Drosophila melanogaster: one gene and its partner. The protein of the gene in region 2 purifies or fractionates together with the protein of the main gene of each other region. This does not show direct contact. Each region holds a gene or a part of one and is shown on either strand. Other genes may lie near its edges. The genes, in order: Cisd2 and Irp-1A.

Region 1 (3,896 bases), 6.5 Mb from region 2:
ATCGACTACGAGGTCTACGACTGGAAGAAGCTCGACGCCAAGAGCGAGGAGACCAAGAAGCTGGTCACCCAGTACTTCTCCTGGTCCGGCACCGACAAGGACGGTCGCAAGTTCAACCAGGGCAAGATCTTCAAGTAATCATCTCTGCCTAGCCCAGCTCCGCTCAAAGCAGCAGCCGCCCTCATTTAGACCAACAACAACAACAGCAGCAGTAACAATAAAGTTTGAGATTTAAAATGCAGGAAGAGCACAATGCCCATTTCTTAAGTTCCAACTGATAAGTACACTAAAGATATCCAATATCTGTCGTGCTGCCTCCCACGTTTGGCGGAATCGTGTGTCTCGCCTCCTGCATTTTGTACTGGAGAATTTGTTTGTAACCGCCTAAGCATAACACAGCATGATATTGTCAACGGAACAGCCGCCTGCAGTCAGAAAATATTTATAAAAAATAAAAGGTTTTCTATTAATAACAGCACGGTTTTCTCTCACACGTGTGTGTATGTGTGTGTGTGGTTTATTTGGTTGTTGGTAAAGGTTAGGTCTGGCATTTATTAGTAATTAGAATTAAGCATATCGATTTGAATTTATGTTTGGGCAATTTTATTGGCTCCTTTTAACTTAATCCATCAATATCATCAATTATTGCTTACAATTACAAGGGTTCAAACAGCTTCGGCCACTACTATTGGTTTTAAAAGCAAACTGGAGCTCAGCGAGAGGAAATGCTAGAACGTTTGTGTATCGATGCACCGCCGCAATCTACTTCTTGATGACAATTGGTCCGACGTTGTCTCCAGTCTGCTTGTTGTGCTCGCCATGACTGCCATCGCAGTAGGGCCACTGCGAATAGAGGATTCAATTGAAAATTTTGTTCACAATATTTCAGAGGTTAGAATGCACTCACGTTCTTGGTCTTCCAGCAGCGACAGAAGGCCGCCTTCTCCGCAATATCCTCCACGTCGATCATGTCCACCACCTTGGGCTCGTTCTTGCGGATGTGGTTGTTGCAGCGTCCGCTGTTTTTGGCCGCGCAGCTGGCCCGTGCCGCCGGACAGTAGGCCAGGTAGGCGGTGTAGCCGAGTCCGGCCACCACCACGGTGGGTGGGATCAGGGCCAACCAATCCTTGACTGCAAACGAAACCAGGTTAATACGGAATGCAGTGCATTTTAAGCTTTATAACTAGATATTTTGGTCGATCAGCCGTAACCGGCACAAGGTCGTTCCCTACACACATATTGGGTTATAAACGCACCAAGATATGCGCATATATGTTTATAGGTATACCCATGTTGGTATGCCTGTATTATGCGTCTATCTAGTTGCCTATCTGCGAGACAAACTTGCTCCAATTATAAATTTCTTGGCGAGCTCAGCAGTTGTTGCATAATCGCTGCAACTTTTTTGCCTGGAAGTGCACACACTGCACTTCCAATTCCCGTTAGCAGCTCCGCAATATCACGCCACATTTGCACCTTAGTAGTCCATTTAGTTGGCCCCCCTAGATGCTGCGTCATTATCGTGGATTTGGGTTTATGTGGGGCGCCCTTTGAAGGCAAATCAAATTCCAATGGGCAAAACCACGCTCATTGCCCAAACTTACAGGAGAGCTTAAACCAGCCGCCGATGCTGTCGGGAACCGGCAGACTTGACAAGTAATTGGGCAGCGAGGACTTCACCAGATGTGATATGGGCTCCATTTCGAAACGCCTTTTTTATTTAACTGGCTATTAAATTCGGAAAACTTGTTTTTGTGTTGCTATCGGTTAGCGGTGCTAGCAAATCGATAAGCCAGTCCTATCGGTATCGCAGTGCTAGGGTCACACTGCATTTTCGACGATAGGCAGTATTACAGATTCGTGTGTAGTCATCGATAGCATTCTGTTTTGTTTACGAATTATTGATTGAAATCAATAAATTGCAGTTTAGAATGTCTGCCGGGGTACAAGAGCGCCTGCAACTGAGCCGCATGCCGCTGGACACGTGGTCGAAGCGGGAGCAGCTCATCCTGGCGTCGGCGGTCTCCTGCAGCGGCGACCAGAACTGGATCACGGTGAGCCGCACGCTGAAGACGATCTGCGGCAATGGCAGCAGTAACCGACCGGCGGACTGGTTCTCGCAGAAGAACTGTGCCATGCAGTACGGCAATCTGCTGGAGAGCGTGGAGGCCACCAAGCGCAAGAAGCGCAGCAGCGAAAGCAGTGCCGGCGTCTCCTCGCCGGCCACCGTGGAGACGCCCACAGAATTGCTGCTCCGTCGGCTCACGGAGGAGCGTCAGGCGGAGATCAAGGCGCAGATGCGTCAGGATCAGGAGACTTACCGACGCATCCAGCGGGAGATTGAGTCGCTGCAATCGGACGCGGTGACCGAGCAGGAGCTGCAGGACATGTGGCTGGAGATCGAGAAGGAGCAGGAGGCGCGCCGCATCGAGGAGATGAAGCTGGAGAATCGCATGCGGGAGCGCGAGCAGCGCAAGAAGGACCTGGCCAGCAACTGGCGAAACAGCAGTCTAGCCGTCAAGCGTTCCAACCAAGCTGCCGACACGACTTCCGTCGATATGGACGTGGAGGACATAAACACCAGTGGCAATGGCAAACAGCAGACGGGTCCTTCGCCTCTACTCACATCTCTCCTGAAATCGCCCACAGGCAATGCACCTGCAACGCCCACCCCAGGAGGAGCTGCACCAGCAGCCGGAGGAACTGGCAGCGTGGCCAGGGCTACGGCGCCAACCATCACCTCGCTGCTGACCAGCGGTCCAAGCTCAGCTGTTGCCAATCAGCCAGTCATCACCATGAAGAGCCCCACAGATGCGGCGTTTATGTCCCGACCTATTACCGGACCTCCGGCCAGTGAGGCTTCTACTACGCCCACACTCGAACGGAGTCCCTCGCAGGCGGCACCCACACTCTCCATGCTGCTAGAGAAGAACATGGCTGCGGCGAAGGCCAACGAAAGCGGAAGCTTGGTAAAGCCAGAGGGGTCAGGAAACCAGGAGCAGGGTGTAGACGAAGCCACTTCTTCTGCAGCTGGCACAGCAGACTCCGACGAGGCGGATCCCAACGAAGCGCAGCTGCTGGAAGTCTTCAAAAACATTGATCAAATAATAGATGACATCGACATTGATATGGCCAGTGTCATTGACGATGAGATTCTGAAAAATGTGGATGACGTCGTAGCCTCGCCATCAAACGATAAAGCCGAAGTTATTGACTTTGAGGACAAGCTGGACGCTTTGAAGCGGGAGCAAAGTAAAAGTTCCCCAGCCAGTGATAAACCAAAATCTGTGGAGCTAGTAATTGGATCCAGCGATGACTCCAACGACAATATACCCCTGGCTGCCGTGGCCTCCCAGGAGAGTAAGGATCGTGGTCAGTCCGGTGGTGAATCTACTAGGGGCACCGAGGACGCAGAGTCCGAGCCGTTGACCAGCGAGGTGGCGGTGGAGGAGATTGGTGAGACCATTACCATTATCAGCACTTCAAGTGAGGATACTGCAGGATCGCCACCCACGAAAATGGAGGAAGATGGGGCCACTGATTCCCTTCCGAAGAAGGAGGATGCCGCGGAAGACAAATCCGAACAGGAAAGTAGCTCCCAAGGACAAAATAAGGCAGGAGGAAGCACGGACGAGCCGGAACTAATAGATCACCAAGCCACTAGGGAAGCACAAAGCAAGTCAGGCAAGGACACAGCGGGAAAGCCAGTAACAATGCAAGAAAAGACGACCACTCAGTCCGCTCCGGTTCCTGTGGATCTGCACGACACAGACGAGGAGTCGTCTTCGTTGACGGACAGCAGCAAGCACGATGACCATCCAAGGAGTGCAAAAGCTAAGCCCCCGGCATTGAAGCTGGCTCTGGATGACTCCAAGTCGGAACTGGAGCTGAGTGGC
Region 2 (6,025 bases):
TTGCGGATTCGACCAAAAACTAAACGTCCATTATCCGCACACACAAACACACGTGGACACACACGGCACACGGACACACACTAGCACTGGCCCACACACACACGCACACAGTCTACATTTTTACAGGTTTTCGCTGCCTCTTTCGGATGCAACATTGGCTACTGGGCCTGCGGCAATTCCCCATAAACAAATGACATAATCCAAAGCGACGCGACGCCACTGGGCACTATCCACAGGTCGAGGGAACCGAAGCACCCACCAGTCCAAGTGCGGTTGCCCAAAATAAAACCCTGTGCGATCCGAGATCTTTTCTTTTTTTTTGTGTTTTTTTTTTTTGGTGGGGAGGCGGAGGCGCGACTTTCCTGCTGCGTTGTTGCGTTTTTGCGCGGTTCTTCCAAGTGAATATCGAGCACTGGCTGCAGAGCTATTGGCCAACACACGATCTGTTGCTTATTTATGTTTTTCTTTTGCGAATTGGAATCAAAATCCTCTGGAGAAAAGTCCACGGGACGGACAAAAAAAGAAGCAGCGAACTATGTTAAGTTAACAGCGATATAACAGGGACTATTCGATTTTATTGCTGCCTTGTCGATGATTCACCAGCAGGCGTTAGGCATTTTTAGCAGGACTGGTTTGGCCATCGGCATTTCTGCTATCGATAACATCCAGAGCGCGCAATTTAAAATATTATAAAATATTTGAAATATTTTTTTTTTAATAATTATCATCTCACAGATGAATGTCAAATTTTATTTCCCAGCACATAATAACAATTAAAAGTCGCCTAGAAATGCATATGGAATATAAAAGTCAACGAACGCACTAACTAATCCAGCATTTTGCGTATCATATAGTTCAAAATGCCGCCATTCTTGTAGTACGTTATGTCCACCTCGGTGTCGAAACGCAACGTGGTCTCAAAGACATTGCCATCAGCATCGACCTGAATCCTCTGGCCCGGCTTCAGTTCGCCCTCGGGCAGGACAATGTTGTACACCTCCCTGCCACTCAGTTTCAGGGTATCGGCGCTCTGGCCAGGCAAGAACTGCAGCGGAATGATGCCCATGCCCACCAGATTTGAGCGGTGAATGCGCTCGTACGATTCAGCAATCACCGCCTTGATGCCCAGCAGAAATGGCCCCTTGGCGGCCCAATCACGTGAGCTGCCACTGCCGTAGTCCTTGCCTACGACCAGAACCAAAGGTGTTCCTTCGCTCGCATACCGTTCCGCCGCATCGAAGATGTCCATCTCCTCGCCACTGGGCACGTGCAGTGTGCTGGGTCCCGTCTTGGATGCCAGTTTATTGACCAGACGGATGTTGGCAAAGGTTCCGCGTGCCATCACCGCATCATTGCCACGTCTGGATCCATACGAATTAAAGTCGCGCGGCGTTAGACCCCTTTCCGACAAATAGCGCGCTGCCGGTGACTTTCGTGCAATGGATCCGGCTGGCGAGATATGATCGGTGGTCACTGAATCACCGAGAAGCAGCAGACAGCGAGCCTTCTCGATACCTTTAAGTTTGGGCAGCGCACGAGTCATACCCTCGAAGAACGGTGGTAGTTTGATGTATGTTGATATTTCACTCCATGGATACAACTTGCTATCCGACACCTCCAACGTTTGCCAGTCCCTGGATCCCAGTTGAATTTTGCCTGTGATAGCGGACACAGTTAGCCTAGAGCTGCGGAAAAATCTTAGTCAGCTAGCTATACTCACTGTACACCTCCTGGAACATGGCGGGAATGACGTGCTTATGCTCTACCTCCTGAATCTCACTGCGCGTTGGCCAGATATCGCGCAGGAACACCTCCTTGCCGTTGGAATCCACGCCCAGCGGTTCGATCTCGAAATCAATATCCACACGGCCGGCAATCGCGTAGGCAATCACCAGCAGCGGACTGGCCAGATAATTGGCCCTAGTATTGGGATGGATGCGACCCTCGAAATTGCGATTGCCCGACAGGACGCCACAGCAAACCAGTCCGTTCTTCTCGATGGTGTTCACTACGTTCTCATCGAGCGGGCCCGAGTTGCCAATGCAGGTCATACAGCCATAGCCCACAATGTCGAAGCCCAGCTGCTCCAGATAGGGAATCACACCGGATTCCCTCAGATAGTAGGTAACCACGCCAGATCCTGGTGACAATGAGGTCTTGATATACGGCAAAATACTCAAGCCCTTCTGCACGGCATTCTTGGCCAGCAGACCAGCGCCCAACATCACCGAGGGATTCGAAGTGTTCGTGCACGAGGTGATGGCGGCAATCACAACAGATCCATGACCTATCTTATAGCTCTTCCCATCGTCCCATTGGAATTCACCACTTGCAGCCAATGCACTCGGTGGTATGGCGAATCCCTTGAAGCCGACAGGACTTATGAGGCACGACTTGAAGTCTTCGCACATGCTGGAAACTGAAACGCGATCGTGCGGTCGCTTGGGCCCCGAAACCGAGGTCACCACGGTGGATAAGTCCAAAGTTACAGACTGCAGGGTAAAAAAGTGATTCGTTAGTATGTCTTTGCATTGGAAAAACAGAATCTCACTTACCTCCGTGTATTGGGGATCCTGATCCACAAGGGAATAGTCACGAAGTTGTCGAGTGGCCTTCAAATACTTCCGGATAATATCGATTTTCTTCTCGGAGCGATCTAATGATCCACATCCATGGATATCAAGTAATAAATTTAGATAATTTTTAAGATTGACTCACTGGTTTGGCGCATGTAACTCAGCGTGTTTTCATCGATTGGGAAGTAACCCACAGTGGCTCCATATTCCGGACACATGTTGCTGATGGTGGCGCGATCCGCGATGCTGAGCTCTGCCACTCCGGGGCCGTAAAACTCCACGAACTTGCCGACGACACCAAGCTGACGCAAATGCTTGGTAATGGTCAGCACCAGATCGGTGGATGTGGCCAGAGGGCCCAGTTTGCCCTCCAGCCTGTAGCCAATCACCTCTGGCAACAGCATGGAAATGGACTGGCCCAACATTACGGCCTCCGCCTCGATACCGCCAACACCCCAGCCGAGAACACCTAATCCATTGATCATTGTAGTGTGGGAGTCAGTGCCCACAACGCTATCCGGATAAAGGATCTTAGATCCGTCCGCTGAACTGTCGCTTTCGAAAACCACTCGGGCCAGATACTCCAGGTTAACCTGGTGCACAATGCCAGAGCCGGGTGGCACAATTAGCATATTGTCAAAAGCGCGAGCTCCCCATTTGAGGAAGGTGAATCGTTCCTTGTTGCGCTGGAACTCTAGTGACTCGTTCTTGGTCAATGCGTCCGAGGAGCGAACGAAATCCACCTGAACGGAATGGTCGATGACCAGGTCGGCAGGGCAGATGGGATTGATTTTCTCAGGATTGCCGCCCAGCTCGCGGACAGCATCCCGCATGGCAGCAAAATCCACGACGGCGGGAACGCCAGTAAAGTCCTGAAAGCAGGGAATATCTTAAGAAGTCACATACAAACATAATCTATGTGATGCAATAATCCACACCTGCAATATAACACGAGCTGGCTTGAAGGAGACTTCCACATCGCTGGTTTCCTGCTTCAGCGATGGAGTCCATCCCAGGATGCTCTGCACATCCTTCTCCAGCACATGAAAGTTGTCACAGTTGCGCACCGCTGATTCCAGCAGAACGCGAATGGAAAAGGGCAGTGACTCTGTGGGGGGTTAATAATATTCATAAAGATAACAACAATAATGATAACGAACAACAATAACGATTACCAACCATATTTGCTGTCGATGGAGGGCAGATCAAAATACTTGTAGACGTTGCCGTCCTGGGTGAATGACTCCTGGAACTGGGCAAAGGGATTGGCGCCTGCAAGGAAGACAGGATTAGCGTACAGATCAAATACTCCTTTTTCCAATTAAATCCCACCGGAGCCGGACATTGTGGAAAAATTAAACAGAAAACCAAGCAATGTGATATAGAGATGAGCGCGTGAGGAACCGCTACCAGGCAAAACTTGCTCATCACTAACGCAAACATTATATTATCGATAACTGAACATGAAAACAAACCGGTACACAGTAAAAAATATTTATTTATTACTTAAAATGAAACATTTGTAAATTATAGTGGAATAATTTATCATTTTTGTGATTCGAAAATAATATTGGATATAATATTGGATTGATTGCTTTTTTATTTTAGTTCAAAATAAGGTATTTAAAATAACTTGTTTGCATGTCTTTAAACGCTTTTCCCTTCCTACATGCTAATTTCGTTAAATAAACTTAAATATTAATTATGTTTTCTGCGGTTTATTGCAATAGTTACATGGTAGGCTTATTGTAATGTCACGTAGTATAATTGGTATTTGTAATCTATATAAATAATATGTATAGGGGATTATCATCTAAAGCTGCGTCGGGATGCAAAGCCTGTTTTATGGCGCAAGCAATTTGGCAGCGGGGATAACAAGTCTGTGATGGACGTCTACAGGTAGATTCGTCGCAGGTCCTTCGGCGTGGTAATCGAGTTGCACTGCGGGCACAGCTTTCGCGCGCCGAGCGTCTGCAACCAACACTGCTCGCAGTGGACGTGCCAGCAGGACACGGAGATGGCGGGATTCTTGTAGTCGTCGATGCAGATCAGGCACTTGTACTTGCCCTGCGCCTGCTTTTCGTAGAGCCGCAGCTTGGCCTTCAGCGATTCGATGATCTGCTGCTGGTTTTGGGAGGTGGATCGCGTGGACCGCGACGTAGACGGCTCCTCGCTGGCTGGTGGAGCCTCCACGTTGCTTGTGCTGGCAGGCTCTTGCTCGGTGGCTTCGCTGGAATGGTTTGGCTTGGGCCCATCGCTGGAGGAGATAAGTCGGCGCACGTAGCTGGTAACATCCGCCTCGGAAACATTTCCCTCTGTGTCCTCGTTGACCAGTGGGATCACATCGCCCTCGCCATACTGCGTAGGACCATAGATGTGAGTGTCATCCTCGTCCACGTTGAGATCTTCGTCCTCGTCGTCCTGCGCCTGCTGACTGCCATTGTATTTGATTCTCTGGCCCAGGCCCAGGGCGGAATAGCCTCCTTGCACGAGAGTGGAGACGCGAATGCGCTTCTGTCCCGCCCACTCGTACTCTTCATATTCCTCGCTGTCCTCCGAGTCCTCACTCGAATGCCGCTCACCATTGGCCTGACCATTGCGGCGGCTCTGGCGCAGGCAATGATTAACATGCTCTTGGATGTTGGACTGCGGAAAGTTGTGGTTGCACACGGGACAGGTGGGTTGGCTCGATTCGGCAGCAGCTACGGACGGAGTTGCTGCAGCTGGAGGAGGAGCAGCTGCTACCGTAGGATTTACAGTTGCTGGTGGGGCAGGAGAAGCCGGACGCTTCCTGGTGCGCTGGCGCTGACGGGCCTGCCGATTGCGCTGCACCCGCTGGAACACGCTCCACGGTTGTCTGCCCCCCGATACCGAACCGGATTCCTCGGACGCGGTTGCTCCGCTAGTTGGGGTCGGTGGAGTGACAGCGCTAATGGGATTGTGCAATCGCTCCATCTCCACTTGGCAGTGATCGGCCACCTGACTGCGCTTGATCTTCACGTCGCATGTGGGACAGATCACGTCGTCGTCGCTGTTTCTGCTCAAGTGCTGGGCGAAGTTCTCGCCGTTGGACACCGTGTCCGTAGCCATCGATTCCTCGGATCCACCGCGGACTCTTAAGGGTAAACGAAGTTAAAAGATTCTGTAGTCGGATTTTGTTTTGTTCGATAATCTCTGTCCAAGCCACGCGACGCCGATTTCTTACGTTCTCGTACGGTGGAAAACGGTCACACTGATTTCGTTATTTTTCGTGTCAGTGGAAGTGGTCATTGCGATATACATCGTAAAACCGTTACAAAAGCGCCAAGCACAGTGATTAATATGCTTAAGCAATAATTAAAATTTTATTCACTTAAAAATATCTTTATAATAATTGATTATTTGTTTGAATTCCGTGTTAATTAAAACTTCAAAGTTTGCATTTTGCATTCCAACAACTCTTTTGACCT

Evidence for each region.
Region 1: the proteins of Irp-1A (region 2) and Cisd2 purify together in Drosophila melanogaster (affinity purification with western blotting; one study listed by BioGRID). This does not show direct contact.

Annotation. Positions count from the first base shown.
Region 1 is NT_033777.3:29,221,639-29,225,534, forward strand, and holds Cisd2 (CDGSH iron sulfur domain 2), read right to left. Parts: upstream 1,791-3,896; 5' UTR 1,702-1,790; coding exon 1,605-1,701; intron 1,132-1,604; coding exon 908-1,131; intron 844-907; coding exon 763-843; 3' UTR 579-762; downstream 1-578. Other genes in the region: eEF1gamma (eukaryotic translation elongation factor 1 gamma), read left to right, coding at 1-138; Brd8 (bromodomain containing 8), read left to right, coding at 1,932-3,896.
Region 2 is NT_033777.3:22,720,604-22,726,628, forward strand, and holds Irp-1A (iron regulatory protein 1A), read right to left. Parts: upstream 3,985-6,025; 5' UTR 3,922-3,984; coding exon 3,909-3,921; exon of another isoform or gene 3,849-3,908; coding exon 3,756-3,848; exon of another isoform or gene 3,745-3,755; intron 3,685-3,744; coding exon 3,515-3,684; intron 3,449-3,514; coding exon 2,719-3,448; intron 2,657-2,718; coding exon 2,556-2,656; intron 2,493-2,555; coding exon 1,721-2,492; intron 1,657-1,720; coding exon 827-1,656; 3' UTR 717-826; downstream 1-716. Other genes in the region: RNF220 (ring finger protein 220), read right to left, coding at 4,470-5,666.